Schizosaccharomyces pombe: one gene and its partner. The protein of the gene in region 1 interacts with the protein of each later gene in a biochemical or structural test. Each region holds a gene or a part of one and is shown on either strand. Other genes may lie near its edges.

Region 1 (3,510 bases):
ATTATGTTATCTTCGACATAGTTTGAAACAGTAGATTGTAGGCCGTCTACAGGCAAAGAGGATGGTTGTAAGGAGAAAAAGTGTACAGAATAATTTATCTCGAAATCTCAAAGCTCAAGAGAAAGCTAATGACTATAAAACTATCGTCCGCAATGTATGCGGTAATTCCTTAACACTGAAAATCCAGTTTGCAATCTGTTAAAAAATGTTCATGAAAATCAGTTAATCTATGTAGTGTAAATGGGTAACTTTTCAACCATATGGTTTAGGGAAATGGAAAGAAATGGGTATAAATAACAGTTTTTTCTAGTGAGAAATGAATAGTTTGAGGAACAACCCAGCAACAATGCACGTGAAAAGTACGGAAAACAAAGAAAGAATTTCAAGTCTGTGCTTCAATCGAACAGTCGTATGCAATTTCTTAGGGCCCGGAAAATTCCCTGTTTCAAGAAGCGTATCGATAAGTTTATCTTTCTCATACCATCTTTGATAAAGCCAATCCGTAAACTGATCTTCTTCAGTGGGAATTTCCGAAATTGGGAAGCGACGAACGTGAATATGAAGCCTTTTGATGGGGACTCCTTCAAAAAAGAGCTTAGGTAAAGAGAAAGCATCGGCGGCATATTTCTTAGGAGAGGGATCAGAAAAATAAAATGTGTAATCGTACAAATAAGTCATCGAATCACGAAGCTGACTGATACTATAAAAGAGCCCTCGCACACGTGGGAGCATTAAATGCTTTGGCATTTTGACTCCAATTTTATCGGCATACACCCTGCTCCTTTGATATGTGCTTTCAACCAAGTTGGTTCCTTCTGGGAAGAGAATGAGACTGACGGAATCACGTACATTGCGAATGAACTTGAAATGACGAGACATAGTCTCGTAGTCTTTGTCCCATTTGCGAGAAAGGAAAATGAATCTAAACAATTGCATACCCCAACCTATAACTGGCAACCATTTGAGAGAGTTTTTTAACATAATATAAACATGACCATGCTGTTTAGCAGTGTACGATAACCACCAAACGTACATCCAGTCCGAGTAAAGTTGATGGTTTGCGATAACTATGTTGCGTTCAGCAGCAATTGTTTCCAAGCAACCATTTCTATCCAAATAAAACAAATTTCGAAGCTCGGGATCATAGGTGAGAGTTACAGGAGTCGGACTAAAAAGCTGGACCAAAGCGGTAAACAGAATACCGGCGAATGATTTTGTAAAAGCAATATATTTGTTATAAAGCTCCTTGTTGACAAAATACAGAGGAGTTCCAATAACTTCCGAGGTATAAATGGTAACTGAACCAACAGCCAAACATAATATGAATGAATACTTGCGAATCGCAATTCTGCATGTCATGTTGTCAAACCTAAATGAATTAAAGGAACCTAAATCAAATCTCAAGAAATAAAAGACTGTTAAATAGAATCCAGAGAAAGTTAGCAAAGTCGGTTTTAGTGATGCCCTTTCGCGTTTCTCACCGCACAGTAAAAGTCGTACACGAACACTAAATAGACACCAATTTGAGCAAAAAAAATCCCAAAAAGAAAATTAAAAGCTCTCTGCTTTCTTTTTAATTTCTTAGCCGCACGTTTAGCACCAAAGTGTAATTCAGGGAATGTCAGTGGTTATAGGCAGTGGGTAAAGAAGTAGCGATCGTACGTTGTCAATTTGTAAAAGTGCTCGGACCTAAACATACGGTCGTATGAATATGATAGGTATTCCAGTAATTAATTTGCGCTTAATATTGGTTGGCTGGATGGTCTTGAAAGTTGAACGGTAGAATGACCACGTTTGTTTACGAGGAAGGGACGATGAGTGGAAGGTTGGCACAAACCAAGCCTACCAGAACCCAACTCATACCAACTTTTTTGCATTTTCTTTCATGTTTGGATTTAGTAATAAGACAGCGAAGACATTCCGTGTAAGGAAGACTGAAGCGGGAACGAAGCATTATCAACTACGGCAATATGCTGAAGCAACGCTGGGATCTGGCTCTTTGATGGAAGCAGTAAAACTGCCCAAGGGAGAAGATTTGAATGAATGGATTGCTATGAACAGTAAGCTAAGATATAAAATTGACACTTCAAGAACTTTTATTAATTGAATACTTCTAGCAATGGATTTTTATACACAAATTAATATGTTGTATGGTACAATCACTGAATTTTGTACGGCGGCTTCCTGTCCTCAAATGAATGCTGGACCAAGTTATGAATATTACTGGCAGGATGATAAAATATACACCAAACCCACTCGCATGAGTGCTCCCGACTATATTAACAATCTGTTGGATTGGACTCAAGAAAAGTTGGATGACAAGAAGCTCTTCCCCACTGAGATTGGTGTTGAATTCCCAAAGAATTTTCGCAAAGTGATTCAGCAAATATTTCGAAGGTTGTTTCGCATTTATGCTCATATTTACTGTTCCCACTTTCACGTAATGGTAGCAATGGAGCTTGAAAGCTATCTGAATACATCATTTAAACACTTTGTATTTTTCTGTAGGGAATTTGGGTATGTGTTTCAATTTACTTACTTAAAGATGTTAACAACAAATTTCAGCCTTATGGATAACAAGGAATATGCACCAATGCAAGACTTGGTAGATAGCATGGTTTAAGAACAGTTTTGTAGTTATTCAGGAACAGGAAATGGGAGGTAAACTCGGTTCCCAAACTTACCAATTTAATGTTTTATTTTATCCCTACCATTACCATTTTATCCAGACCTTAGCACAATTTTTTATGGAAAATTTCTTCTTTTCATTTCAATCATTCACTTGAGTGATTACCATAAAGAATAGTTGCTAAAATTACTCTTTCTACTCCTCCACTTTTTTCTTATGACACTGCATTCTTTTAACTACTTTTGAAAAGTGTGGCATATCGCCTTTGCATAGGCTACTTGTGCAAAATATTCTCGCATTCTCTAAAGTGTCTATCTTCATACAATTCATTTTATTTATAACATTTCATGTATCATATGTCTCTGGAATCTTTATTTCAGGTTTCTGTTAAATACCGAAAAAGACTGCATCGTTATTTGAGAAACTACTTACTGAATGGTGGTGGATGTGAGATAGTAAATGTGCGAAATAATCTGAACTTTTTAATTCCCTATTATTTTAGTCTTTTTGCTTTTCATCTTATTTTTTTTTTTTAGTTTTGATGATCTGAGGATGGAAAGAAGGAAAGCAACCGTCCATGTGGGTAAGGATCAATGAATTCATCGTTGTTATGATATATCTATGAGTTTCATGATACCGCTTCCTCATATGGCCATTTATCTACGATAAATGTTTGAGGTTATGATTTAACTTGTTGAATATTATATGACGGCGATACTTCGTTTTAAAAGATTGTTGTTTTCAAAGATCTGTTTGCTAACTTTCTTTTTAGGTAACTTGGCTCCATCTGTAACAGAATCTCTTTTATACAATGCTTTCATTCCGTTTGGAGAGATTATCTCAGTTGCATTACATCGTAAAGAAAAAGGTAAAGTAGTCAT
Region 2 (6,951 bases), 1.5 Mb from region 1:
TATTCCGCTCGATCAGAGCAGATCAAAAGGTTGATTCTTCAGTGTCCCACATTATAAGGCTATTTCTCGCTTACCAAGGAACACATCAGACCTCCTGAACTTATCCTCCACCAACGTCCTCTTCATTTTAAAATTCATTTTATTGAAAAAAAATCATATTTCTAGCTATCTTGCACCTCTATTTGGCCTTTGCTTATCCCCGGATCCACGTTGGATATTTGCTCGCCTATCGAATAGTATATTAAAAAAAGTTCGCTTGAGAAAAAAATTATTTGTCAAAGTCGAAAGTGGAAAGACGTTTTTAAAAGAAGTATTTTGTGGCAAAGAAGTCAATATCTAAGAAGAAAAAAAGTTTCGGTTGATCTGTAACTAAAATCAGCGTCAAAATAGCATCACCAATACGTCCGAGTGAGAAGCATCAAGGTTCCTCAAAATCAAGAAAAACTTTACCAATATTACTTCTATTGTTTTATCTAGCATTAAAAATAATTTCATTTAAATACAATCCTAGAGCGGGATTGTTGAAAAGAAACCCAACCTAATCTTAGTTTATTTGAATTTGCTCAGCTAATTTTGAATGTGACTATATTGAACACTCAAATTGGCTAATTCTTCGTTTAACAAACATCGAAAACTATTTATTTCTTCCCATCTTTTTGTTTATTAAAAAAAAAAGAAAGGAGAACAATAACAGAATTCAATTCATAGTTGTCGGCGGATATTGTTTTTCTATCCTTTTCTAATCCTTTTGTGTGTACTATTTGTTTTATGTTATAATTTATTAAAAAATCAGAAAGTGTTTTCGATATGGAGTCTTGTACAAGGTCTTCACTACAGCAGCTTGTCGCAGCTGACTCAAAATCTTCTAACTTTTGTTTCCGGAATTTATCCCAATCATCGAATAATAATGTATCATATGCGTCTTCAAGCAATCGCAATTTTGTTCCCCAAAATGTTCTCAATAATGAGTACCAATCTTTCCAGCATTCTTCAACATCTCAACCTTCCGTACTTCGACAAGGAAAAAATGCTTTTTTAAAGCCAAGCCAACTGTCTTTCAATATGAATTCGTCCGAAATTTCTAATACGCATTGGGCACGCGATTTTAATATTCTAACTTCTAACTTTGCTTCGTCCTCCGTTACTTCTGCTCCTACTCAATCCTCACATATTTCAAACTTTACTAATTCTCAAAAATATTTTGCAAACGATCTTCCCAACTCTCTAACTGACCAACCCTTAGCTCAGCCATCGGCATCTCAACGTTCTACATGGCTACCTTGTTCTGCAGCCGTTAGCACTTCAAGTCCTTCATCTGATCCCTTCTTTGATTCTTATCTTGAACAAGCTTTCGAAAAGGCTGAACGACTTGCAAACGAACAACAAAAGATTTCCAAAGTTGAGAAAACCTTTGGCACTTTGGATTCCATAGGTACTGAACAGGATGATTGCTTTGATCCTGATTACAGCAATCTCCCCCTTTTTCCTCAGGAAAATGCATCTCCCCCTTTGTTTCGAAAAGCATCTTGCAACAGTGGTTTTACCACAAAATGTTGATTAGGAGTTTCACACTAGCTTACTAATTTCCCTCCTAAAGATTGCTTCAACTGAAGTGTAGCATTGCTTCAGTCGTATTTCAATATTTGATTTTTTTATGCCTTATTTTTTTGTTTTAAAATTCTTTTCGCTAAAATTTGCTTCGAGAATCTATCAATACAAGTTCTCTCTTGCCGCACTATAAATCTCAAATTTAGCTTTCAAAATCATCTATTTATTGCAGTGTATACATTCATAATACCCTCATACCTAGCAATTTCAAAAATCCGTAACTATAGCTTAGCGATGCAAAAGCACTTCCACACCTCTTTTTGTAAAGAATAAAATTAATTTGAATTTTTAACACTTAATTTAATAATAATAAAATGTTTTGTACAACTTGGATTGCTACATATGGGAAAATTCAATCGTCCCTTCTTTCCAGTAATCAACAACCACTTAATAACTGCCAACTCCTAAAGGTCGAGCGCTTGAGGTGTCTAAGAGGCAGAGCATGAGCAAATCTGCTTTCACAAGCAAAAGTCAGCTTAAAGGAATAGAGTATGTTTACAAACTTTACGTCTTTTGTCTAGTGTACTAACGGTAATTAATAGTGGAAGTTTTAATGACCCATTTCGGCAACCGTCTATGAATTTGCCTACTCCCCCTCATGATGATGGTCTTCCATCAATACCTAGGTCTACAGCCTTGCCTAATTTGTCTAACCGATTATCTCCATATTCGCATCGTAATTACCTACCAATTCCTGAAGCGGATTCTCGTAATTTAGAGGTGCTTAATTCAATTTCGCTCACAACAGGATCAGTCGTGAATCAAATAAATAAACTTTACCAGAGGAGTTGTGATAATGCTAATTACTTACAAGACTTACGCTCTTTAATACTTCAAACTCCCACGGCTGAAGCAAATGCCACCCAAGTTACCGAATCTCTAAACCAAATCCAAAAAATTTTACAAGAGGCTTCTTCTAAAGATAGAGAACAAATTGTTCAAGTTATTAAAGAACTCAATAAAGGTAACAGTTTGGAGGTTCGTAGAGAACTTGGAAATTGTTTGGCCCATCTTAAGAAAGGAACTTTAAATATAGACAACGCATTACAAGCCTCTCTACAAAAATACTGGAAAGAATTGCAGTACTTTAATGTGTCAAAGGATAAGTTGCTATCTTTAGAGGAAAGTATAAAATTGTTAAGTGCAAGATTAGAGGAAACTGATACACCCTCCTCCACTCATTGGATAGAGATAAATGCTGGATTTAAAGAAGTTGGTGACGAATTGAGCGAGAATTTTCAAAGAAAGCAAGAAATTTTGAGTGGATTACAAAATAATGTGATTCTTCGTACTAATAATAGGAAGCCTGTAGGCAGTGATGGCTCTAATTCTAATTTTAATGGTGGAGAAGAACAGATGGACTCCAAAGATCAAGAGGAAATACAAGATTATTTGAATTCTCTTTTGTCAGTTCATGAGAAAGATGGTGTACTTCTCCAGAAATTTCATAATTCTTATGTTCAATATCAGAAACTCGCTGTTGCATTGTCGAAATATGAGAATTTCGATGCTGATAAGCTGTTTCAACAGATGAATTTAGCCAAGCAAAGCAATGAGACTCTTTTACAAACTTTGACCGAACAAACCGATCAACTGCTTTCGTTCAAGGAAACCATGGACTCATTTAAATTTATTTTAGGTCCCTCTATGGAGAACCAGGCTTTACAGCAGGGAATTCTAGCAGAGCAGCAAGATTTGGTAGCCCAGTTACGCGATATTGTGCTTCGCTCAGAGACGCTAGCTGAAAATCCCTCTAATATGCCCGGTAGTTGCCTTCCTGGAGCCTCCTCAAATACTGCTGACGAGTTTACTGAACAGCTGAATCTACTTAAGAACGAAGTAGCACGCCTCTCTGCAATCTGTCCAAGCCCTAATTCTGGAATTAATGCTTCTGTGCTTACTAATGCTGACAATTTAGAGAAAGAGAACCTCCTGTTAGTGAACAACAATGCCTTCAAAGTAGATGATCGTTCAGTGTCATCAGTTGCATTAGACGATCATAATCGGCAGTTACAAATGAACGTAGAGGAGTTAGAAGGAAAGAAGGCGGATTTAACCAGCAAAATTAATCGATTGGATAAGGACTTTGTTAAGCTAAATACAACCTACTCGTTACTCACCGATCAAGTCAAAACTAAGCAATTGGCACTCCAAGAGATTGAAAGTCGAGTTATTCGTCTGGAAGAAAGACTAAATATGTTACAGAAGCTGTCCATGCAGCCAGCTATTTCTTCGAGCAGCGAATTTGTTCCCATTGAATCCCATCCCTCATCTTCAGCTGTTGTACCGATAGAAGAACCAAAAAATAGTATTATAGAAAAGAAGCGTGTTCCACATAACGCTGCAAGAAATTCTGTTAATTTGGAGGTCACTCTTCCTAATTCTAAAAAGAGGTTTTCTTCGTTTTCTGGATCTTCCAGTAAACTACCAGTCCGTCCATCAACTGCGTTAACAGACAAAAGGAAACCATCTTGGTCAAGAAGGCTAGCTGCTGCAATCGGGTTTTCTTCAGGATCTCCAGAAAAGAAGCATGTCATAACTTCATCGGACGCGGGACATCAGCGATCTAAATCAAGAAGCTTCAGTTCTAAAATGTAATTATACGCTCTTTTATAGGTCAATCGTTTTTGTAAGATTATACCAATGCTATTATTTAATCAATGACTTTCGTTTCTGTACTATACCTCTTTCATATGTATACTACGTTGAAATAAGCACTTAATGTAAACAACTATTGAAAGCAGCTCATCACATGAAGTCCAAAAATTACTACAACCCTTTATCCCTTTAAGAGCTTTACGATCGAAAATCCGATTTGCCAATGGAGATACAAATCAGCGTTCAAATATGAGAAAGTCTAACTATACAGATAAGCTTCAACAATCCTTGTAATACTAATGTTAAGATATCTTCAGAAAATTAACCGGTAGTTAACAAATAGATGCTATGTATATTGCATTCATTAGTAAGCTAGCGACCCCATTTGCTCAGAAGCCCTTTCTTTAGCTTCGCATAGACATATACCAACGGAACGAATGACACCTGGCAGTGAAAATTCCCTTTATACTTTGTGTAAGAATACTAAAGCTTGTTAATTTTTTTATTGATTTGCTAATTAGTAGACTCCTTGTCGAAATTTGGTTCGTTAACATCAGTTCAGCGCACTTTTCAAACGATGAAGTGTCAGGTTTTAAGCCTAAAATTTTCACCAAGTTTAATGGGAGTCCATTCAAAAGACGTGATATGGAATCCTTCGTGATGTTCTGATGGAAAGAGAGGTATCGCGAATTATCACTCGGATCCATAGATTTTAAAACTTCTGATGATTCAATGAAATGAACTCCAGGTTCTGCATACAATAGTGGCAAATATAGCTTACGAAAGAAAGCTATTTGCTTAGAAACAATATTTTCAACTTTTCGAGGATTTTCGGCGAAAAAGGACATTCGAATATCGCCAAGGTAGGATAAACTTACAATCGTTTTGTAAAGATCGAACTCTGTGAATCGGTCTGCTAACATTAACAGGCCAACGTGTAAGGCACTACTTAAATTATAAGAGTTTTCTTTGTAAAATTCATCTTCCCCTTTAAGTATGACAACCTATTTGTTCAAATTCGGTTAATATCCACAATTGTAGCAGAAGTCTGTTTATTTAACTTACGGGTTTTTGAAAGCGCCCCGCTAGATACATAGTATTCCAATTTTTAAGATCTTCATAAACATCTTTTTTGCTAGTAACACCATATTTGATTATATTTCCCTCTACTTCCACATGTGTATTGTAGTATACACCGGTGCCAAAAGATTCTTGAAGTGTTGACACGAAACCAGGTCCAAAATTTTTAACAAATGAATAATGAGAAGGGTTTTGCTGCAAATTTATTTTGTGCCACTTGACTGGGTCTTCTACCTGAAATATAAAATCAATCATGGGATTCTCCTAGCAGAGACATAAGTTAGAAGTTTTAGATTAAACGAGTATAACGATTAATAATTACTATTTACCTTTTGAGAATATCCAGCTTGCCTAAAGACCCCGCTGCCATAACCTACGGCGACATCAATGGGAGCTTGAAAGTAATTAACAACCTTTGTGAGATTTTCTTTCAATTCTTCTTCAGGTTGAATTCTTTGGTTTTCAAACGTAAGTAAATTTTGCTTCAATAATTGTGCCACTGTACATTTCGCATGATGACTATAACTATGACGGTTCATCCATCGTTTTGTTGAATATCGAAGGATATTATAAGAAAGAAAGTGGGTTTTACCAAAGATCATATATATGATAAAATACGAGTTAGCAATTGCTTTTTTAGTTGTGATACTATACAGTGTTTAATTATACTGAATTTTGGTCACGATGAGGTACTATATGACAGAAGACGAAAACGCCCAGTCTACTCACTCATTGGACTCTACACATTTCATCAATAATATTTAATTGAATTATTTATTTAGCTGTTTTTTTATACCATGATAAATTAATTATTCAAAATGTGAAATTAAAACCAGAGTATATAAACTTAGAACTGACTTACATATGTTCTTACTACTTCTAAAAGAAACGACATTAAAAGAATGAATCGAAACATAAAAATTTAGGTCAATGTTCCATCTTTTTTTTTTCGTAGTTTATATTAGAAGATTCAAAGATCCAAATCTGCGTACATTTTTACAGCAACCAGTTTCAATGTTCAAAAAAGAAATTGTAGATCATCAACTGATGCATATTTATTCAAAGAAACCGACTTGTTCTGCTTTTTCTTAGTAAAATTGGTTGCTTGTTATGTTGCATTGTATACTATACACGAGAATAAATTCCACCATAATCAAAAAATTGAACTGAGAAAAAAATTTGAAAACCCAAACCATAGAAACCTTTTATAACACCATTAAATAGAAACTTAGAATTATTTTTGAATACCAACAACATGCCTTTCACGTTCTTTTTCATAGGGCACGGCACCTTTTTTACTATGACGGCGAATGTTCTCTTCACGTCTCTTTAGAGAATTAATCTCTTCACGTTTTATTTCGGCAGCCTTTTTGACATTAGTTGGAAGATGACGATGACGGGCAATACGGCGAATTTCAGGAATATGCTTATAGCGCTCTCGCAATGAGTCAAGATATTTGAGGCGATTCTCCTCACGAGTAGAGCGAATTGACGCACGGGAAGAAGCACGAGCTCTCCAAAGACGAACATTACTATCATCGGAACCAGAGAATATGTATTGTGCATCCATTGAAAATTTAACTGCAGTAACTCGCTGCATACGTTTTGTATGATAAACATCACGACTATGACCCTCCCGAACATTGTAAATTCGAATCGTTTTGT

The links. Proteins that work in one complex are often made in the same cells at the same time.
Region 2: the proteins of mob1 (region 1) and blt1 form a complex in vitro, tested with the Schizosaccharomyces pombe proteins (one study listed by BioGRID).

The regions. Positions count from the first base shown.
Region 1 is NC_003423.3:468,501-472,010, reverse strand, and holds mob1 (Sid2-Mob1 kinase complex regulatory subunit Mob1), read left to right. Parts: upstream 1-1,847; 5' UTR 1,848-1,885; coding exon 1,886-2,060; intron 2,061-2,117; coding exon 2,118-2,517; intron 2,518-2,565; coding exon 2,566-2,623; downstream 2,624-3,510. Other genes in the region: mlg1 (1-acylglycerol-3-phosphate acyltransferase), read right to left, coding at 307-1,359; SPOM_SPBC428.12C (peptidyl-prolyl cis-trans isomerase E), read left to right, coding at 3,182-3,212, 3,402-3,497. UniProt on the Schizosaccharomyces pombe protein: Has a role in promoting the onset of septum formation during the latter stages of mitosis.
Region 2 is NC_003423.3:1,982,466-1,989,416, forward strand, and holds blt1 (ubiquitin domain-like protein Blt1), read left to right. Parts: upstream 1-2,000; 5' UTR 2,001-2,050; coding exon 2,051-2,097; exon of another isoform or gene 2,098-2,150; coding exon 2,151-4,206; 3' UTR 4,207-4,578; coding exon of another isoform or gene 4,579-4,635; 3' UTR 4,636-4,636; coding exon of another isoform or gene 4,637-4,652; 3' UTR 4,653-4,653; coding exon of another isoform or gene 4,654-5,210; 3' UTR 5,211-5,271; coding exon of another isoform or gene 5,272-5,550; 3' UTR 5,551-5,615; coding exon of another isoform or gene 5,616-5,888; 3' UTR 5,889-6,087; downstream 6,088-6,951. Other genes in the region: SPOM_SPBC1A4.04 (uncharacterized protein), read left to right, coding at 808-1,557; U3 snoRNP-associated protein Sof1, read right to left, coding at 6,521-6,951.